5 linked regions of the Xenopus tropicalis genome follow. The protein of the gene in region 5 purifies or fractionates together with the protein of the main gene of each other region. This does not show direct contact. Links are inferred from orthologs where the notes say so. Each region holds a gene or a part of one and is shown on either strand. Other genes may lie near its edges.

Region 1 (4,105 bases), on a different chromosome or scaffold from region 5:
AAAATAAAATGGCCCCTTTATTGGAGCTCCCTATAGATCCCATCAGTTCTCTGGCCCTGTTTCAAATGAATGGTGGGCGTGTCATAACAGTCCCTTCCAGAAGTGCAGCCGGAGAGGAATAGCCAATTACAGCCTTGCACTCACACAAGCAAAGACAGGCTTCAGTTCCCTATCAGGTCAGCCTAGCTGATGATTGGTTCCTATCCTACAGTGCCGTTTACTGAGAGCAGCCGGCCCCCCTGCACATGCAAAGAAGTCAGCTAGCAGGAAGTGGAACAGATGGGCGGGGTTAGTGGGGTTTTGGTGGAATTTCTCAATAAATCAGACCGAAACACAATTTTTTAAAGAAAAATCCTTCTGTTTTTAGGGGAGTATAATTCACTGGTACATTCTTAATTTTTATATGATGTGCCTCCTTTAAGGGGGGGGGGTTAAAAAAGCTGTCCAGGTACCATACATTGTGTATAACCTGACAGCTTACTATCAGCATTTTGCACATTAAATGCACAACCTACCGCAACAAGAGATTTGCAGAGTGGGTCAAAACCAAATGGATTTCACTCGTTACAGATATTCATCTGGATAGCTTTTTAATCTGTTTTATTTACCGAAAAATAACAGGCATTTTTGGTGTTAACAGGATATAGAAAATGGTCCAATAAAATTGCGATTAGCTGGAGAAAGGCAATGTGCAGAAATCTAAATAGGGGTATTACTATCACTTTTACACTGGCACACGGGCACCACAGAGACTCCGTGATCCTGATACCCAACATATTGCTTTAAATGCCAAGCCTTGAGTTTCTGGAAGGTGCAGCCCTATAAGATGTAGCACTGCACTAGGCATCCATGTGCTTTCTAAGGGTGAAGACACACAGAGCTACTAGTAGCAGCTACTTGTGACGGCTACTAAAATAGACAATGTTGATCATTTACTGATAACTGTCTTTACGTGTGTTGTAGCAGAGGCAATTTTCAGTATTGTCTATGGCAGGGTATTTTCTGTCCCTTAGTAGCTGTAACAAGTAGCTTCTACTAAGTAGCTCTGTCTGTTTTCACCCTAAATGACAATGTGACATCTAGGGACTGGGGAAATAAGAGCCTTGCCAGAGGCCAAACACATGAAGCAAAGCAAATCAGTTGCTTACCCACACTGCTAAACAAGCCTGTAAACTCACAGTATGTTTCACAACATTTCCCTGCCAGGGATTTTTGTTTAAGCAGGAACAATATTTTCAATTTTACTGTGATCTTGAAAAATATGCATTCTTGCGGGTGCTGAAAGGCCAAAAAATGTGGCATTATAGCAGGACTTCCCCCCCACAGCAGCCTTTCAGGTTTTGCTGACCTGCACTCCTAGAGCCACAAACCGGACATGGGCGAATCGAGAAGAGTTGGGACCCGTGCAATGTACAGCGGGGACACAATGCTTCAACTGTCAGCTAGATGCTGACAGCTGTAGGTTGAGGCAGACAAACTGTCACATAAAGAAGTCTCTTATAGAACTGGGTATTAAAGACGAATTACTGCACGGCAAAAATGATCATTCTAAGAAACTTTTTAATAGAAATTCAGTTGATTCTTTTCACTGGGTCAGACTCTTGAAACAGCAAAGAAGAAGTTGCCCTCCTGGTCTGCAGCTGCTACATTGTTTCAGCAGTCAGAAGCAGGACTGCAGACAATATAAACAGATACTGTAGCAATTACCTTTACAGATGACAATAAAACCAGTGAATGTGTATGGGAAAGGAATACAAATGCCATGTTTTTTTATATACACTTTGGAAGCAACAAGCCAGTGGAAACGTGTCTGTATTTGCCCACAGGGGTGCCCCATGTCTGATCACAGTGCCCATGGGCAGGAGGGGCAGCAGGCACCCACCCTGATATAAGGCTCTGTATGTCTGGCTTCAGCTGCTGCTGCATGGCACTCCTCATTCATTAGGCTGATAATTACAATGGCACTTGGGGCAGCTGCTGAGTAAAGCTGGGCACTCCCATGTGTGAGGGATGCCGCCTGCCAGCACTCATTCTGCCCTCCCTGCTGCGGATCATTTGTTCGCTGACAACAAGAGGTTAATACCCCCCCCCCCCCCCATTCACAGCAATATGTCAGCTCCAACCCGTATCAATGCCAATATGTAGACTCATACGTTCCACCATAATAACGTAGCCCTTATAGGGAGTAAGGCTAAGTTGCACCATAATAACGTAGCCCTTATAGGGAGTAAGGCTAAGTTGCACCATAATAACGTAGCCCTTATAGGGAGTAAGGCTAAGTTGCACCATAATAACGTAGCCCTTATAGGGAGTAAGGCTAAGTTGCACCATAATAACGTAGCCCTTATAGGGAGTAAGGCTAAGTTGCACCATAATAACGTAGCCCTTATAGGGAGTAAGGCCCTGGGACGCAGGGAATGGTTGGCCCCAGAGTTAATGGAAGATGCTGGGAGTTGTCACAGCAGCGACACTACAGCCAATCCCCCCACCTAAGAGCCCATCCCTGCACACTCACCGCCATCACCACAGTATCTTCCCCTTGAAACTTGGCCACATACTTGTCCCCTCTGGTAACCTCGGAATCGTTCAGAGGCCTGAAACGGCACATCACTTTGATGCTGCACTCCGCCGGGTCCGCCATCTTGTCCGCCCCTTCCCCTCCGGCACAGGGGGCAACTGAGCACACGCAAATAGGACGCTGGCGGCTACTCCCGCTAAGTTATTGTGACGGTAAACCACCACCACCGCCGCAGCCGCTCCCCGGAACCGGTGAGTGAGCCGCTAAGCTTGGCGGACGGAGGCACTAGACTTCACTTCCCATCCAATATGGCAGCCACGGCGGTGACGCAACTACTGTTCCTCCCTCCCTGCCGGCTGTGAGCTGAGTGATGTCATCTTCGCCCTGAGACTAGACGCGCACACTGAGCAGAACTGGTGGGCGGGGCGTACTGTAAAGTGACGTATGCGGAAGCGTAAAGGGAATGTGTCAGGATAGAGCAGTGCGGTTGCGCAGTACGATCACGTGATCGTTTCCCTGCGCGCTAGTTTGTCAGGGTCGGGCGTCTGGGACAGTTCATTAGCGCGGCTGCGGATGAATAAGTGTGGAAAGCTGTTCGAAACAGTGAATGGGGGGCCACAGGCGTGGGGTCCTGCTATGCTTAGTGCAGGGAGTGGGCTTCCATAGCAGGGTTGCCAGATTTATTTTTCCAAACCAGGCAAAGTCAGTTCTAAACTAGCCAAAAGCCACTTTGAAAGTAGCCCAATATGCACAATGAAAAATATTTTTTAAAAAAGTATATGTAACCCTATTTTGGCTACGGTTGTACTTTAACCACGCAATCACCTGCGTGTGGCGCTACAGGAGCCCTGAGCCCCCGCTTATTTATGGGGGACAGATATGATATAAATGAATGGCGTGCCTCCACCCAGGGTAGGTATAGGTAGAACTATATGTCTCCTCCCTGGGAAATCTCAATGAGGTCCTTATTGGACCCGGACTCCCAGCAACTCCCGGTACCTTGCCCCTCCCTTGGGGTAGCTGCTTACCAGGCAGTTGAGGATCCTCAGTATATGAACAGCCAAGACACCGGTTAAAATGGTGAACCAGATGAACTTGTTTATTGATGCAGGCAGAACACTTCAGAGGATGTCACACAGACGGCTCAAGTCACACACTCTCTCTTTGGGCTACCCCCGGTACTCCCGCCGGATGCTTCCACCTAGGAACTCACCCCGGTCCACGCGTAGGGCCCCTTCACTGGGAACATTCCCAGGTGCTGACTTGGCGCCTCTTACTGAACATTAGAGGTCCTGAACTCCAGCCATGAATGCTGGGGGGTCTTAACCCCTCTCTCCTGTTGGGGGCTATCGCTGCCCGTACTCTCTAGCCTGCCTGTCACTCCTAGAGTGACCTGTCACAGTACCTCTTGTACTAGAACACTAGCCTGTTGCTGACCTCATTACAGAGGGGGTCCCAGGCAGAAAGACCTTCACAAAATTGGTGTCATCCCTTTTTATATTGCAGCACACTGCCACCTAGTGGTTGCTGCTGCATAACAGGGAAACTCCCTTTTCACACATAAACACTCAGGACCACCTTTAGGTG
Region 2 (3,521 bases), on a different chromosome or scaffold from region 5:
CATTCATTGGTTTTTATTGTCTACATTTCCTTGAAGACTTTTGCTACCAGTACATAACAGTAACACTATTGAAGTGCTTCATATTATGTGCCACCACATCCTACGCCCTTTCTGTACTCCATGCTGTCCATCACACAGCCACCCAGCACCCTATCTATAATACTGCTGCCTCTCAATACGTTGTTCCCTCTTCATATATATTGATAGCATTTCCCTGTTTCTCTAGGATGATGAGATTAATCAGCAGAGCCAGCTGATAGAGAAACTCAAGCAACAAATGCTGGATCAGGAAGAGGTAAAATAAAATATTATTTCCGCTTATTGACCACATTATGTTAAGGACATACTTGAATATTACTCTTGCTGGAAACTCATGGCTGACAAGTTTATTTATTTTTTGTCTATACCCTGTTGAGCAGTCAGGTAGCTTCAAAAACACATGCTTATTAATAGAAGAAGCCATCAAGCTCCACCCATGTGGTTCCTCATCCAAAAAGTTTGGTATATGTGAGATTGAGCTAAATTAGAGATTCTTACTGAGAGAGGCAGCCTATCAAGCTCCACCCATGTGATTCCATATGCACAAAATTGGTATATGTGGAATTTAGAGATGCTCAGACCCAGACATTGTCAAGAGTCTTGGGCCTTAAGGATCCTTCCGATAAAGAAAATAATCTATGTAATCCAACATCCCCCAATAGCCTTTATCTGACAGCTGAAGGGACACAGGTTGGATATCCCTGATGTATATGCTCAAAGGAGCCCCTCTAGTACTGGAGGCCCAGAGAGAATCCTCTTTGTCTAACTACCCTAAACTCAACAAGATTTGGTAACCCAGTTCTACATTTAAACAGTGGCCAATTCCTTCAGCTCTGTTGAGGAGTTTCAGTATTTTGGCTTCCCAACTGGGGATGATAGTTCATACAGTTGCTGTGTGTTTATGGTTTTCAGCTTTTGGCATCAACGAGGAGAGATTACGAGAAGATCCAGGAGGAGCTGACGCGCCTTCAGATAGAGAACGATGCAGCCAAGGATGAGGTGAAGGAGGTGCTTCAGGCGTTGGAAGAGCTAGCTGTCAACTATGATCAGAAATCTCAGGAAGTGGAGGACAAGACAAAGCTTAATGAACAGCTTTCAGAAGAACTGACCCAAAAAACAGTAAGTCCAGGAAGAACTTGTTTGGCACCGACAATCTGTATTTCTTTACAACATTGAGTTCTCTGTGGGACGTCTGTACTGATTGGTTTTATTAGTTGACCAGGGATTTCTGTTGATCTATGATGTCTATGAGGGCCACATTTCACTAGTGATCAGATTGATCAGCCCATATGCAACAGTCATTGTAGAGGCTGGTTACCTTGGGTGCCAAAGTTCCTTGGCCCAGTTCTGAAGAATGATGTCTGTATTTGCTACTATCTGTAGTATTTCCAGGGTCGGACTGGCCCGGGAAACTGGGAAAAATCCTGTTCCTGTTGGGCCCTGCCACCTAAGCACCAATTTAGTAAAGATTCAAATAAAATTTAAGATGGCCATGCATTCCACGGTGGAATGTATGGCCATCTTTAATTGTTTAACCTAGCTTTGTGGCCTGAAAGTGGAAAAGTAGTGGAGCTGGAGCGGGGACGGACAGGGGACAGGGCTGGACAGGGGTGGTGGTGGCTGCATGGTGGGCACTTGACTTGGGAACCCAGTGGGCCCCTGATTTCTAGTAAAGCTTTTGAGTACTGTTCATTAATGTGCATGATCTGAGGGTCCATTCACACAACACATCATTGGGACAGTACATTTTTACATTGCATGGGAGAGAAATTGTACAACGTGTCACGTAAAGCTTTTATAATATTTTTTTTTTGGTGTTACTGTTTCTTTAAACATTGCCGAGCTGAGATAATGGAGGGAATCCATAATTGTGGATAATGCAGCTCTCCGCAGCAAATTCAAGCCGGCGCTATTAACAGCCATTTCTAAATGGTGCAAAATTAAATTTGTTCCCACCATAACTGCTGCTAGATAACAAAAACCCATTAAGATATGCAAAGTAAATGGCCTTCAAAGTAGCTATTACGATCGTTAGCGATAAAGAGCACAAATAATCCGAAATATCTTCTGAACTGCGTGGGTGGTGCTTGGGGGAAATCGGTATGCGGTAGGTAGCGCGTGGAGATTGGTTAATTAGATATTAGTGTGTTATAATTATTAACCCTTAAGTCCACTGACACTGTTACTTGTTAGACTTTCTGGGTAATAAAGCCTACAATTCCCAGGAGTGTATTGGGGAGTGGGGTTCTCATGCACTTATTGGGGTACGGATGGAAAGTTGTACTGAGAACATCAAGGGGGATAGCAAGTATAGTACAGCAAGATGGCAGGAGTATGACAAGGTTTTGACAGGAGGTCAAGATAACAGAAGCCCGTGGACCTCCAGTTATTGATCTACAGTACCCAGCACCCACAGACAACTGAAACAATGGGGCCCTAAAAACTCTAATTTGGTGTAGGCCCAACTGCTAGCTCATTAATTACCCAATATCTGAGACTCTTGTATGACTCATACCAAAGGTTGACACTTAGGGGCACATTTACTAATCCACGAACGTCCGAAAAGCGTCCGAATGCGTTTTTTTCGTAATGAACGGTATTTTGCGACTTTTCCGAGAATTGTCGCGACTTTTTCGAGCTCTCAATACGAAAAAGTCGCGACAATTCGCAAAAGTCGTAATGGCTATGAAAAAGTTGCGACAATTCACGAAAGTCATAATGGCAATGAAAAAGTCACGACAATTCACGAAAGTCATAATGGCAATGAAAAAGTCGTGACAATTCACGAAAGTCATAATGGCAATGAAAAAGTCGCGACAATTCGCGCAAGTCGTAACGGTTACGAAAAAGGCGCGACAATTTACGCAAAATTCGTAACGGCAACGAAAAAATCGCAAAAAATATGAAAAAGTTGCAAAATGTTCATTTTTTCCAATCCGAATTTTTCGGATTCGGATTCGTGGATTAGTAAATCAGCCCCTTAGGGTGGCTTTTACCAAATGCCGTCTCTTATCCCATATTCTATCTATTCCCATCACCCTTTGATAAACCACCAAAGAAATGCCACATCTTTCTTCTGTCTTTGGATGAAGAGATCAAGGAGGAAGCCACGGATTCCCTATATATTGCCCTAAGAGAACTACAAGGTCATCTACTAAATCAGCCTGAATCCTGCTGCTAAATATTTCCATCTTGTTTGGATTTGGGATCAGCCTAAGGACATGACTGTCCCCAGATGATGTCCCTTCAGATATCTCTACATGGCGTAGACAATATCTTAGTTTCTATGAACATAAGAAGAAGAATTATATATTGTCCTGTTATGTTCTATGCCAAATATTGAGTCCTTATGAGAACAAGGAACAAGGAGAATGAGTCACGTTGTGTGGATCTTTTAATCTAACGTGCAAATCAAATTAACATGCACTAGGTTCAGTTTCATCAGAGGCCAATTAACCGGCCTTTATGGTCTTTGGAACATG
Region 3 (3,521 bases), on a different chromosome or scaffold from region 5:
AAAGCAATTTAATGGGAGTCTGTATACTGGGTAACTCGGGGTATACCCGTAAATGGCAGAACCAAGCTGGGAAGCCATGATAACATGAATGCAAGGTTTTAATGAAGACAAAATAGCAGAACAGCAACTGGTGCAAGTTGAAAATATGAACAAATATACAGGCCAGTGACAGGAACAATCGGCAGTCAAAAATGTAGATCAGTAATCAGGCCAGTAGTCGGGACAGGCAGCTGACGGAACAAAACTGAACGGAACAAAACTGGGAAATTTACAAGAACAGAGCTAGGAGGGGCACATGAGTACAGGAACAAGACAGGAAACAAAGAACAAGGCAAGGACTCAGGAACTGGGAACCAGATGGGGGTCTCAGGAACAGGAAAACACGAATCGCAAGAGGGCAAGATCTAGGCTAGAAAGCTTAATGACCAAGCAAGGACAATGGCCAGTGGCAGGCTTATAAAGGGTCTTAATTAAATTATAAGTTACACATTGGGCTAATAAGGTGGGCAGAGGAGGAGGTAGAACGATCAGGACCAGCCATAAGAGCCTCCAGGGGTTCAGTTGGTAAGTACACAGTCTCAGAAATACATGCACAGTGCACATTGCAAAATCCATTGCTCTCCTATATAAATTGATTTCCTTATTAAGGGGATACAGTGACAATGGTAGAAATGTGACTGTTATTTGGTTCATTTACATTTATAAAACTGATGTTTGTTATATTCATACCCACAGGAAATGCTACAGATATCAATGATAACAGGTAAGAAGCACTAATAATGTTTTCTACTTTTTGACTTCATTCCAAAGGTGACAAAGATTACAAATACAATGAAAATGCATTCTTCTGTCACTAAGTATATTTCCCATCATAATGCTCCTTCTTTATATCAAACCTTGAACAGCGTTACCCTTGCTTACTCTACAATAAATCACAGCCTCTTTGTAATGCCAACTGCATTTGAATGTTAACCAAAGACTCTAAAGCAGTTGTACCCAGCACTGAAAATGGAGCACTATTTAAACTTAATCAGGATATGACACAGCGCATCAATAGAAAGATATCTTTCTGTTACTGATACTGAGGTATTGTTTTGTGCTATCAATACGAAATGTAACGGATCATTTTAAACGCCAAGTGCAGCAAGCAATGTGAAATTTTGAGCCCAAACTGTGTTTTTTCCCGTTATTCAGCATTTTTTCACATAATTCCAGTGTCCTTACACCACCAGGGGGAGTTGTCCCTGATGCGATTGTAGCTGATGTATCAAAATTAACTTGCACTTCAATGTTAATTAAACACGCTTTCACTGAAGTCCAGTTGGCGTTATTTCTGGTGTCTGGCGAGAGAGTGCTTTGTGTGGCTGATTCATTAGATACAAGCATGCTGCGCCTGTTGATACAGTGCACTAAGGGAATTCTGGAGCTACCGCCTGGCCTAGAGGTGGCAATAGCTAAAGGGATTTTCTGCGTCAATAGGTGCAACTGTGCTTGATACGGAACAGGAAGCATGAAGGACTGAGAGGCACAAAGGCAACTATACAGAGGTGCAAGGAGCACATTTTAACTTTTAATGAATGGGGATTTATGGGCAACTAACTGGCGGGAAATTTGTGGGACTCCAACTGCGCTTGTGGTCTTAATTGACCCCTATAGTTTCTTTTTTACCCTTCAGTAAATCTAAAAAAAAAAAAAAATCTTTCTGGTGAGCTGGTGTGAACTCTAGTTTAATAAATACACAACATACAACCCTTTTAACGATTTATAGAGATGTGTGCAAAATTGTCCTCTTCACTTTCCTTGAAAAATCAATGACAGCCAGGAAAGTGTTAATATGAAAAGTGGTGTGAATCACTCTGGAATTCCCTGTTGGATATTTAATAAGTCTATCCTGTACAGCTAATATAACAGTATTTCATATAACAGGAAATGTTTTTAAAAATACTATATAATGTAGGATTATTTTGTCACCAATATGGATCCAAAGGACTGTTAATTATAGAGAAAAAAAAATTCTTTTTAAAAATGAGAAGTATTTGCTTAAAATTGAGTCTATAGGAGATGGCCTTCTTGTAATTCAGAGCTTTCTGGATAATGGGTTTTCGGATAAACCCATTTTTGCTTTGAAGTTGTTGCATTATTTCAAAACAATGTTTCTATTTTCACTACAGAAGCGATTTGCCATGTGGCTGTGAAGCTGAGGATCAGTCCAAGTTGTTCCCTCTTCATCAGGAGACAGCAGCCAGCTAATAACGCAGTCATATAAATTCTCATATCATGTGCACTTTCAGGTAATACCTACTTTATAACCCATTTAAATGGTCTGGTCAGTTCACATGTATAGTCATTATTTATGGAATATTGAAGGAAAAGATTTCCTCACTGCTGTCAATATTGCTTTACAGATGGCTAAATGCGGGAAAATATTAGGAGTTATTTGTGAAGCTGAACACAGTGTGCAATCTGCCATTTTTTTGCACTATGCACATTATAATCTTCTGTGTGCACACCACTTAGGAGCTCAGAGACCTGCGGTTCCCCCCATGAATACAGTGCTGGTTGTGTTGTATTGGGGAGGAGCAGGTGGAGTAATTAAGATGTGCATGTTAGTGAGCAGCATGCAGCAAGGATAAGGCTAATGCCAGACGAGGCGTAGGGCAGATATTTTCAGCAAGCGGAAAAACACTTGCCAAAAATTCCGCCCTACACCTCCTACTTGTGCCTGCACCCGAATGAATGAGATACACTCGGGTGCAGGCACATGTAGCTGATATACGCATAAAAACGCGAGACTTTGCATTATCTCGCATTTTCATGCGTATATTGGCTACATGTGCCTGCACCCGAGCGTATCTCATTCATTCGGGTGCAGGCACATGTAGGAGGCGTAGGGCGAAATTTTCAGCAAGCGCTTTTCCGCTTGCCGAAAATATCCACACTACGCCTTGTGTGGCATTAGCCTTAGGTTTGGCTGGGCTTCCTGAAGCTGTGCTTGCGCAGTTTACCCCAGGGCACAAGTGCATACTAATGAGCACTAAGGGGCATGCTCTTGTGATATAGCACTTGCCCAAGGGGTAATGTAAATGTCCCCTGGCTTAGCCACTTCTGACCAACCTGTCAGCTTTGTGGCCCATGTATGTTGGCAAAACCATAACCCCACTGACCATATAGCTCCCCTGTTGAAATCTACATCAGGCCCTGGATGCTGTCCTCTCTGAGTAGGTCAACATAAAGAAAAATCTTCAGCACACCACTTACATACATGTTCTCAGAGGGTGCTTAACTTCCACGGCCGCTCCCAAGCCTTTTCTCCATGTAGCTTTGCAAAGGGAAAGAAGCACACCAGTTGTGTCGGCAATGCCTTTAAATCATTTATTTGCAGAAATGAGCAAAACAGCACAAGCTTTCGGGGGTGACCCCTTCCTCAGGTGCAAGGAAGGGGTCACCCCCGAAAGCTTGTGCTGTTTTGCTCATTTCTGCAAATAAATGATTTAAAGGCATTGCCGACACAACTGGTGTGC
Region 4 (3,521 bases), on a different chromosome or scaffold from region 5:
TTTTCGGACCATAAGACGCACCGGACCATAAGACGCACCAGTTTTTAGAGAAGGGAAATGAAGAAAAAAAGATTCTGAAACAAATAGTGTCCTAAAATATTTTATGTGCATTAAAACCCAACCCGTACCAGCAGCACCCAACATATTGCCCCCCCATCTGTACCAGCAGCACCCAACATATTGCCCCCCACCTGTACCAGCAGCACCCAACATATTGCCCCCATCTGTACCAGCAGCAGCAATCAGGAATTGCCCCCATTTCCTGTAAAAGCAGCCTACCTGCTCAGGCCTCAGGATGGTTTTCCGCGCCGCACCACAGCGCCTCTGTCCCTCTGGCTGCCTTAGTTTGATATAGCCTACAGATATACTTTAAGAAAAGGTTTTTTACTTGCCCGTGTGGTCTCCGTGCAGGGCCCTCCTCTATTTACCGGCGCTTAGCTCTGGCACTGTGCACATGCACAATGACGCGCATGCGTATGGGCATGCGCGTCATTGTGCATGCGCACAGCGCCAGAGCTAAGCGCCGGTAAATAGAGGAGGGCCCTGCACGGAGACCACACGGGCAAGTAAAAACATTTTTTCAAAGTATATCTGTAGGCTATATTCGGACCATAAGATGCAGGGACTTTTTCCCCCCACTTCTGGGGGAAAAAAAGTGCGTCTTATGGTCCGAAAAATACGGTAACAATAATAACTTCTGCCAATGTGTCACCCCTATTAAATTATAAACATAGGTCTCAAAACCCTTAAAAAAAAGGTACAAAAGTGTCGGAAAGAACACAGTTCTAAAGTGTCAACTGCCAAACTGTAAAAGTGTCTTAAAGGACATGTAAACCCTGCACACAAAAATTTAATCAGTGAACAGCCTCTTTGAAATCTTTCAATATCCGCCACACTGGTTGTCCAGAAAGCTTAGGTTGTCCTGAAAACTAAAAGTCCCCCCAAGGAAAGGCCCCTTAAGCAAAACAGTGCAAAATATTCAAAAACTGTCTGGCAGTAGTTCTGCTTTGACCAAAATGGCTGGAAGTGAAAGGGTTAAAGATGAGAGCTTCTTACCATCCTTATCAATGGTGAAAGGCACATCAGGTGTTACAATCTCATAGCTGCAGATCTGACTAAATTGCGGAGAGCAATCAGCATCTACAGCTTCTACCCTTAATATATTATCATACTTTTTCCCTTCTCGGACAGTAACTTTGTAGGATTTTTCTTTGAAGACTGGTGCATACTCGTTCACATCATTTACTTGTATGTGTACTGATGCCCTGTAATAAACAAATAATTCAAATTAGACTATTACAAAATAAATGTTCATTATTTTTTAATATATCAGTATTCCTGTCTAAAGTTTAAATTACAGTTAGTGGGTTCCATACAGCTCACACAGATTCATCTCACTTTATTAATCACTTGATTAATGCTTTTAGAGATTTTAACATTACGACCTCAGATTACTCTTACACTCTCTGAATTAGAGAATCTTAGCTATAAGTATCTATTACACTTATGCTATGATTTATTGAAAAATGTAATTTCACACACTGACTACATTATAAAACCTGCAGATCAGCAGGAAAATCATTTACATTTAAAAAAACACTATAAAAGTTGTATGATATTCTGCCTGGATCTGAACCAGGGACATAAAGGTTAATGTGCAGTTCTCCAACACTTGACCCAAGATTGCTTGGGTGTTTTGTTTCCAGGTTCCTGTTTTGTTATACATTGTTTCGGACTCTTGTTCTGTCCCTAATATTGAGATCCTGGTTTTGTACTTGGCCTATTTCCGATTTTTGAGATTGCCTCAAGAATGGCTTTTGTACAGTGTCTTTGGATTTTTATGTAGTAACTAGTGACGAGTGAAATTTTTTGCCAGGCATGGATTCTTAGTGGCACCTGAGAAGCTGAGGGCCAGGCCAAATGTTATAATCATTAATCACAAATCCCGACATAAACCCACCAAGTTAGTTAAATATATATACATCTGAGGAGCCAGATAATGAAGGCTTCCCTTGTAATATGCCCAGTTCTAGTAATTTAGCTACTGACGCGTGGGTCACTCGGGAGGAAATTCAAAAGAGACTTGAACATGTAAAGGTAAACAAAGGTCCAGGGCCGGATGGGATTCATCCCAGGGTATTAAATGAGCTGAGCGCTGTGATTGCCAAACCTCTTCACTTAATTTTTCAGGATTCATTGAGGTCTGGCATGGTGCCAAGAAACTGGCGGATTGCTAATGTGGTGCCGTTATTTAAAAAGGGATCCCGTTCTCAGCCTGAAAACTATAGGCCTGTTAGTCTGACATCAGTAGTAGGAAAACTTTTGGAAGGGGTAATAAGGGATAGGGTACTTGAATACATTGCAGTTCACAATACTATTAGTTTGTGCCAGCATGGTTTTATGCGTAACAGATCTTGCCAGACTAATTTAGTTGCCTTTTATGAGGAGGTGAGTAGGAACCTTGATGCTGGAATGGCAGTTGATGTCATCTACTTGGACTTTGCTAAAGCGTTTGATACAGTACCTCACAGAAGGTTAATGATCAAATTAAGGAATATTGGCCTAGAACATAATATTTGTAATTGGATAGAGAACTGGCTGAAGGATAGAGTACAAAGAGTGGTTGTAAATGGAACATTTTCTAATTGGACCAGTGTGGTTAGTGGAGTACCGCAGGGGTCAGTCCTTGGGCCTTTGCTGTTTAACTTGTTTATTAATGACCTGGAGGTGGACATAGACAGTACTGTTTCTATTTTTGCTGATGACACTAAATTGTGCAAAACTATAAGTTCCATGCAGGATGCTGCCGCTTTGCAGAGCGATTTGACAAAATTAGATAACTGGGCAGCAAACTGGAAAATGAGGTTCAATGTTGATAAGTGCAAAGTTATGCACTTTGGTAGAAATAATATAAACGCAAACTATCTACTGAATGGTAGTGTGTTGGGGGTATCCTTAATGGAGAAGGATCTAGGGGTTTTTGTTGATAACAAGTTGTCTAATGCCAGGCAGTGTCATTCTGTGGCTACTAAAGCAAATAAAGTGCTGTCTTGTATAAAAAAGGGCATTGACTCAAGGGATGAGAACATAATTTTGCCCCTTTATAGGTCCCTGGTAAGGCCTCACCTTGAGTATGCAGTGCAGTTTTGGGCTCCAGTCCTTAAGAAGGATATTAATGAGCTGGAGAGAGTGCAGAGACGTGCAACTAAACTGGTAAAGGGGATGGAAGATTTAAACTATGAGGTGAGACTGTCGAGGTTGGGGTTGTTTTCTCTGGAAAAGAGGCGCTTGCGAGGGGACATGATTACTCTGTACAAGTACATTAGAGGGGATTATAGGCAGTTGGGGGATGTTCTTTTTTCCCATAAAAACAATCAACGCACCAGAGGTCACCCCTTTAGATTAGAGGAAAGGAGCTTCCATTTGAAGCAGCGTAGGTGGTTTTTCACGGTGAGGGCAGTGAGGTTATGGAATGCCCTTCCTAGTGATGTGGTAATGGCAGATTCTGTTAATGCCTTTAA
Region 5 (2,187 bases):
TAGAAGCTTTCTCTGTTTGCTTAAGATTGCAGCTGCCATTTTAACTTGGTCTTCATAGCTTCCTGCTGTATAGCTCTAGCCGTTATAGCTCAGATCACACATTCCTCAAGAAGAGGGGAGGGAGTCCTTAGCATTCTTGAGGGGGGGGGGGTGGCAGGAGAGAGGAGAGAACAATGCAGACTCTGTCCCCCAGAATGAAGGATTTTTCTGAGAGAGTAAGTCATACCAGAAGAACATGTTTACAAAAAGGAGACCAGAAATCTTGTGTTTCTTTTGATAGAGGACTCGGTGCAGCTTTTCTGTGAGTGCTTATGGCTGTACAGGTATGGGATCCCTTATCCAGAAACCTGTTATCCAGAAAGTTCCGAATTACGGAAAGGCCATCTGCCATAGACTCCATTATAAGCAAATAATTTCTAATTTTTAAAGATTTCCTTTTTCTCTGTAATTAGAAACCAGTAACTTGTACTTAATCCCAACTAAAATATAATTAATCCTTATTGCAGGCAAAAACATGCTCACGTTCTGCATAAGAGGTCCCATACCTGTATTTACATAGACTTTTCTGAAAAAGCTTACTTATTGTTTACCTTTCCTTCTCCTTTAAAGTGTAAATTATTAGCAGGAACAATTTAATAATATGTTGCCCTCCTTAAAATGTTTTTTATTCTCTCATGTTTCCAGAGCTCTACAAGACTGTTCTTGTTCAAAATCTTTTAATAGGAGTGAGCAATCATTTATACAGAAACAATGAACTAAGGCAGCTACACCCATACACCAAGTCACAGTTATGCAGAGACTAAAGGTCCCACTTCTGGTTTTATCACAATGTCTTTTAATACTCTGCAAAATATTACATACAGTATCAAGCATTTCGCAGACAGAACGCTTTCTTTGACTTAATATCTAATATCTATCATATTCTATAATTTGTTGTTCAATATTTACTTTGTTATTAAACAATATATATATTTTTTGCTTTTGCAATGCCTTGGGAAAATATCTTGATTACCAATATTTTACACTTGACAGGTCGCAGCCACTCTGAACAACCTTGCCGTTCTTTATGGGAAACGAGGAAAATACAGGGAGGCAGAACCCTTATGCAAAAGGGCTCTTGAGATCCGGGAAAAGGTATTGCAATTAATAAGCTACTGAGCAGAGTTTGGCCAGCAATGTTTGCTGTTACAGAAATTCCACAAAACACAAATCTCATTTTTAACACAATAAAACTTAGAAGATCTGTGTTCAAAGTGATGCATTGGGATGGATCATAGGTTTGATATTCCTACAATTTTTTTTTATTCTAAAGAAAAGTAATGGGTTTCCTTGGGAGATATAACCTTTTTCTGCCCATGGTGATTACATGATTGCATAAAGCCAGGGCTAGAAGGGCAGCTTTCCTATTTAAAGTTGCCAAAAACACTGTCCATGTTCCGGCATTGTGGAAACACCCATATGTCAGTATGTCAGTTGAAATGCTTATTCATTACACATCAGTGGTGTTGGAGCATTTTAGTTAATGTGCCTACATGTCTCAGGGGAAATACACAAAAATTCACAATTTTTACTTTATATCTTGTATGAGCAGGTGCTCGGGAAAGACCACCCAGATGTAGCCAAGCAGTTAAACAATTTGGCCTTGTTGTGCCAAAACCAGGGAAAGTATGAAGAGGTGGAATATTACTATCAGAGAGCACTGGAGATATATCAAACCAAACTGGGACCAGATGATCCAAATGTGGCTAAAACAAAGAACAACTTGGTAATTAATATATGTGTTTGTGAGCTTTTTTTGCCAGTGGGGCAGCAGTTATTTTGTAAATGTACAACTGTCAATTAATATATAAAATGTGTGCTTTCAGGCTTCTTGCTACCTAAAACAAGGCAAGTTTAAGCAAGCTGAGACCCTGTACAAGGAAATTCTGACCCGAGCACATGAAAGGGAGTTTGGCTCAGTTGATGGTAAGAATTGAAAATAATTGAAAGAATTTCTAGTTCATAGCTTTGCTGCATTTATTTTTGCATCTGACAGCATTTTATATGGTGTATTTTAATTTAAGCTATAGATGTAAATGGTTATTATGATTCTTTGTAGTAGGGACCGTCTATACATCTCAGCTTAAAAATCTGATGGTTGATGGGGTAAAACATTGCTAATAATTTTTGTTGTGTCACATGTAGCCC

Evidence for each region.
Region 1: the proteins of klc1 (region 5) and kif5b purify together in Homo sapiens (co-immunoprecipitation; 11 studies listed by BioGRID and IntAct, counting the BioPlex papers as one, with this or other methods). This does not show direct contact. The link is inferred for Xenopus tropicalis from reciprocal best matches to the Homo sapiens genes KLC1 and KIF5B.
Region 2: the proteins of klc1 (region 5) and kif5c purify together in Homo sapiens (co-immunoprecipitation; 4 studies listed by BioGRID and IntAct, counting the BioPlex papers as one, with this or other methods). This does not show direct contact. The link is inferred for Xenopus tropicalis from reciprocal best matches to the Homo sapiens genes KLC1 and KIF5C.
Region 3: the proteins of klc1 (region 5) and kif5a purify together in Homo sapiens (co-immunoprecipitation; 7 studies listed by BioGRID and IntAct, counting the BioPlex papers as one, with this or other methods). This does not show direct contact. The link is inferred for Xenopus tropicalis from reciprocal best matches to the Homo sapiens genes KLC1 and KIF5A.
Region 4: the proteins of klc1 (region 5) and clstn1 purify together in Homo sapiens (co-immunoprecipitation; 3 studies listed by BioGRID and IntAct, with this or other methods). This does not show direct contact. The link is inferred for Xenopus tropicalis from reciprocal best matches to the Homo sapiens genes KLC1 and CLSTN1.

Annotation. Positions count from the first base shown.
Region 1 is NC_030682.2:22,971,305-22,975,409, reverse strand, and holds the start of kif5b (kinesin-1 heavy chain), read right to left. Parts: upstream 2,818-4,105; 5' UTR 2,642-2,817; coding exon 2,516-2,641; intron 1-2,515. UniProt on the Homo sapiens protein: Microtubule-dependent motor required for normal distribution of mitochondria and lysosomes. Can induce formation of neurite-like membrane protrusions in non-neuronal cells in a ZFYVE27-dependent manner.
Region 2 is NC_030685.2:77,053,509-77,057,029, reverse strand, and holds part of kif5c (kinesin heavy chain), read left to right. Parts: intron 1-226; coding exon 227-295; intron 296-951; coding exon 952-1,158; intron 1,159-3,521. UniProt on the Homo sapiens protein: Microtubule-associated force-producing protein that may play a role in organelle transport. Has ATPase activity. Involved in synaptic transmission. Mediates dendritic trafficking of mRNAs.
Region 3 is NC_030678.2:140,743,344-140,746,864, forward strand, and holds part of kif5a (kinesin heavy chain), read left to right. Parts: intron 1-735; coding exon 736-763; intron 764-2,171; coding exon 2,172-2,250; 3' UTR 2,251-2,291; intron 2,292-3,521. UniProt on the Homo sapiens protein: Microtubule-dependent motor required for slow axonal transport of neurofilament proteins (NFH, NFM and NFL). Can induce formation of neurite-like membrane protrusions in non-neuronal cells in a ZFYVE27-dependent manner.
Region 4 is NC_030683.2:55,918,247-55,921,767, reverse strand, and holds part of clstn1 (calsyntenin-1), read right to left. Parts: intron 1,266-3,521; coding exon 1,057-1,265; intron 1-1,056. UniProt on the Homo sapiens protein: Postsynaptic adhesion molecule that binds to presynaptic neurexins to mediate both excitatory and inhibitory synapse formation.
Region 5 is NC_030684.2:98,530,183-98,532,369, forward strand, and holds part of klc1 (kinesin light chain 1), read left to right. Parts: intron 1-1,032; coding exon 1,033-1,134; intron 1,135-1,591; coding exon 1,592-1,765; intron 1,766-1,865; coding exon 1,866-1,965; intron 1,966-2,187. UniProt on the Homo sapiens protein: Kinesin is a microtubule-associated force-producing protein that may play a role in organelle transport. The light chain may function in coupling of cargo to the heavy chain or in the modulation of its ATPase activity.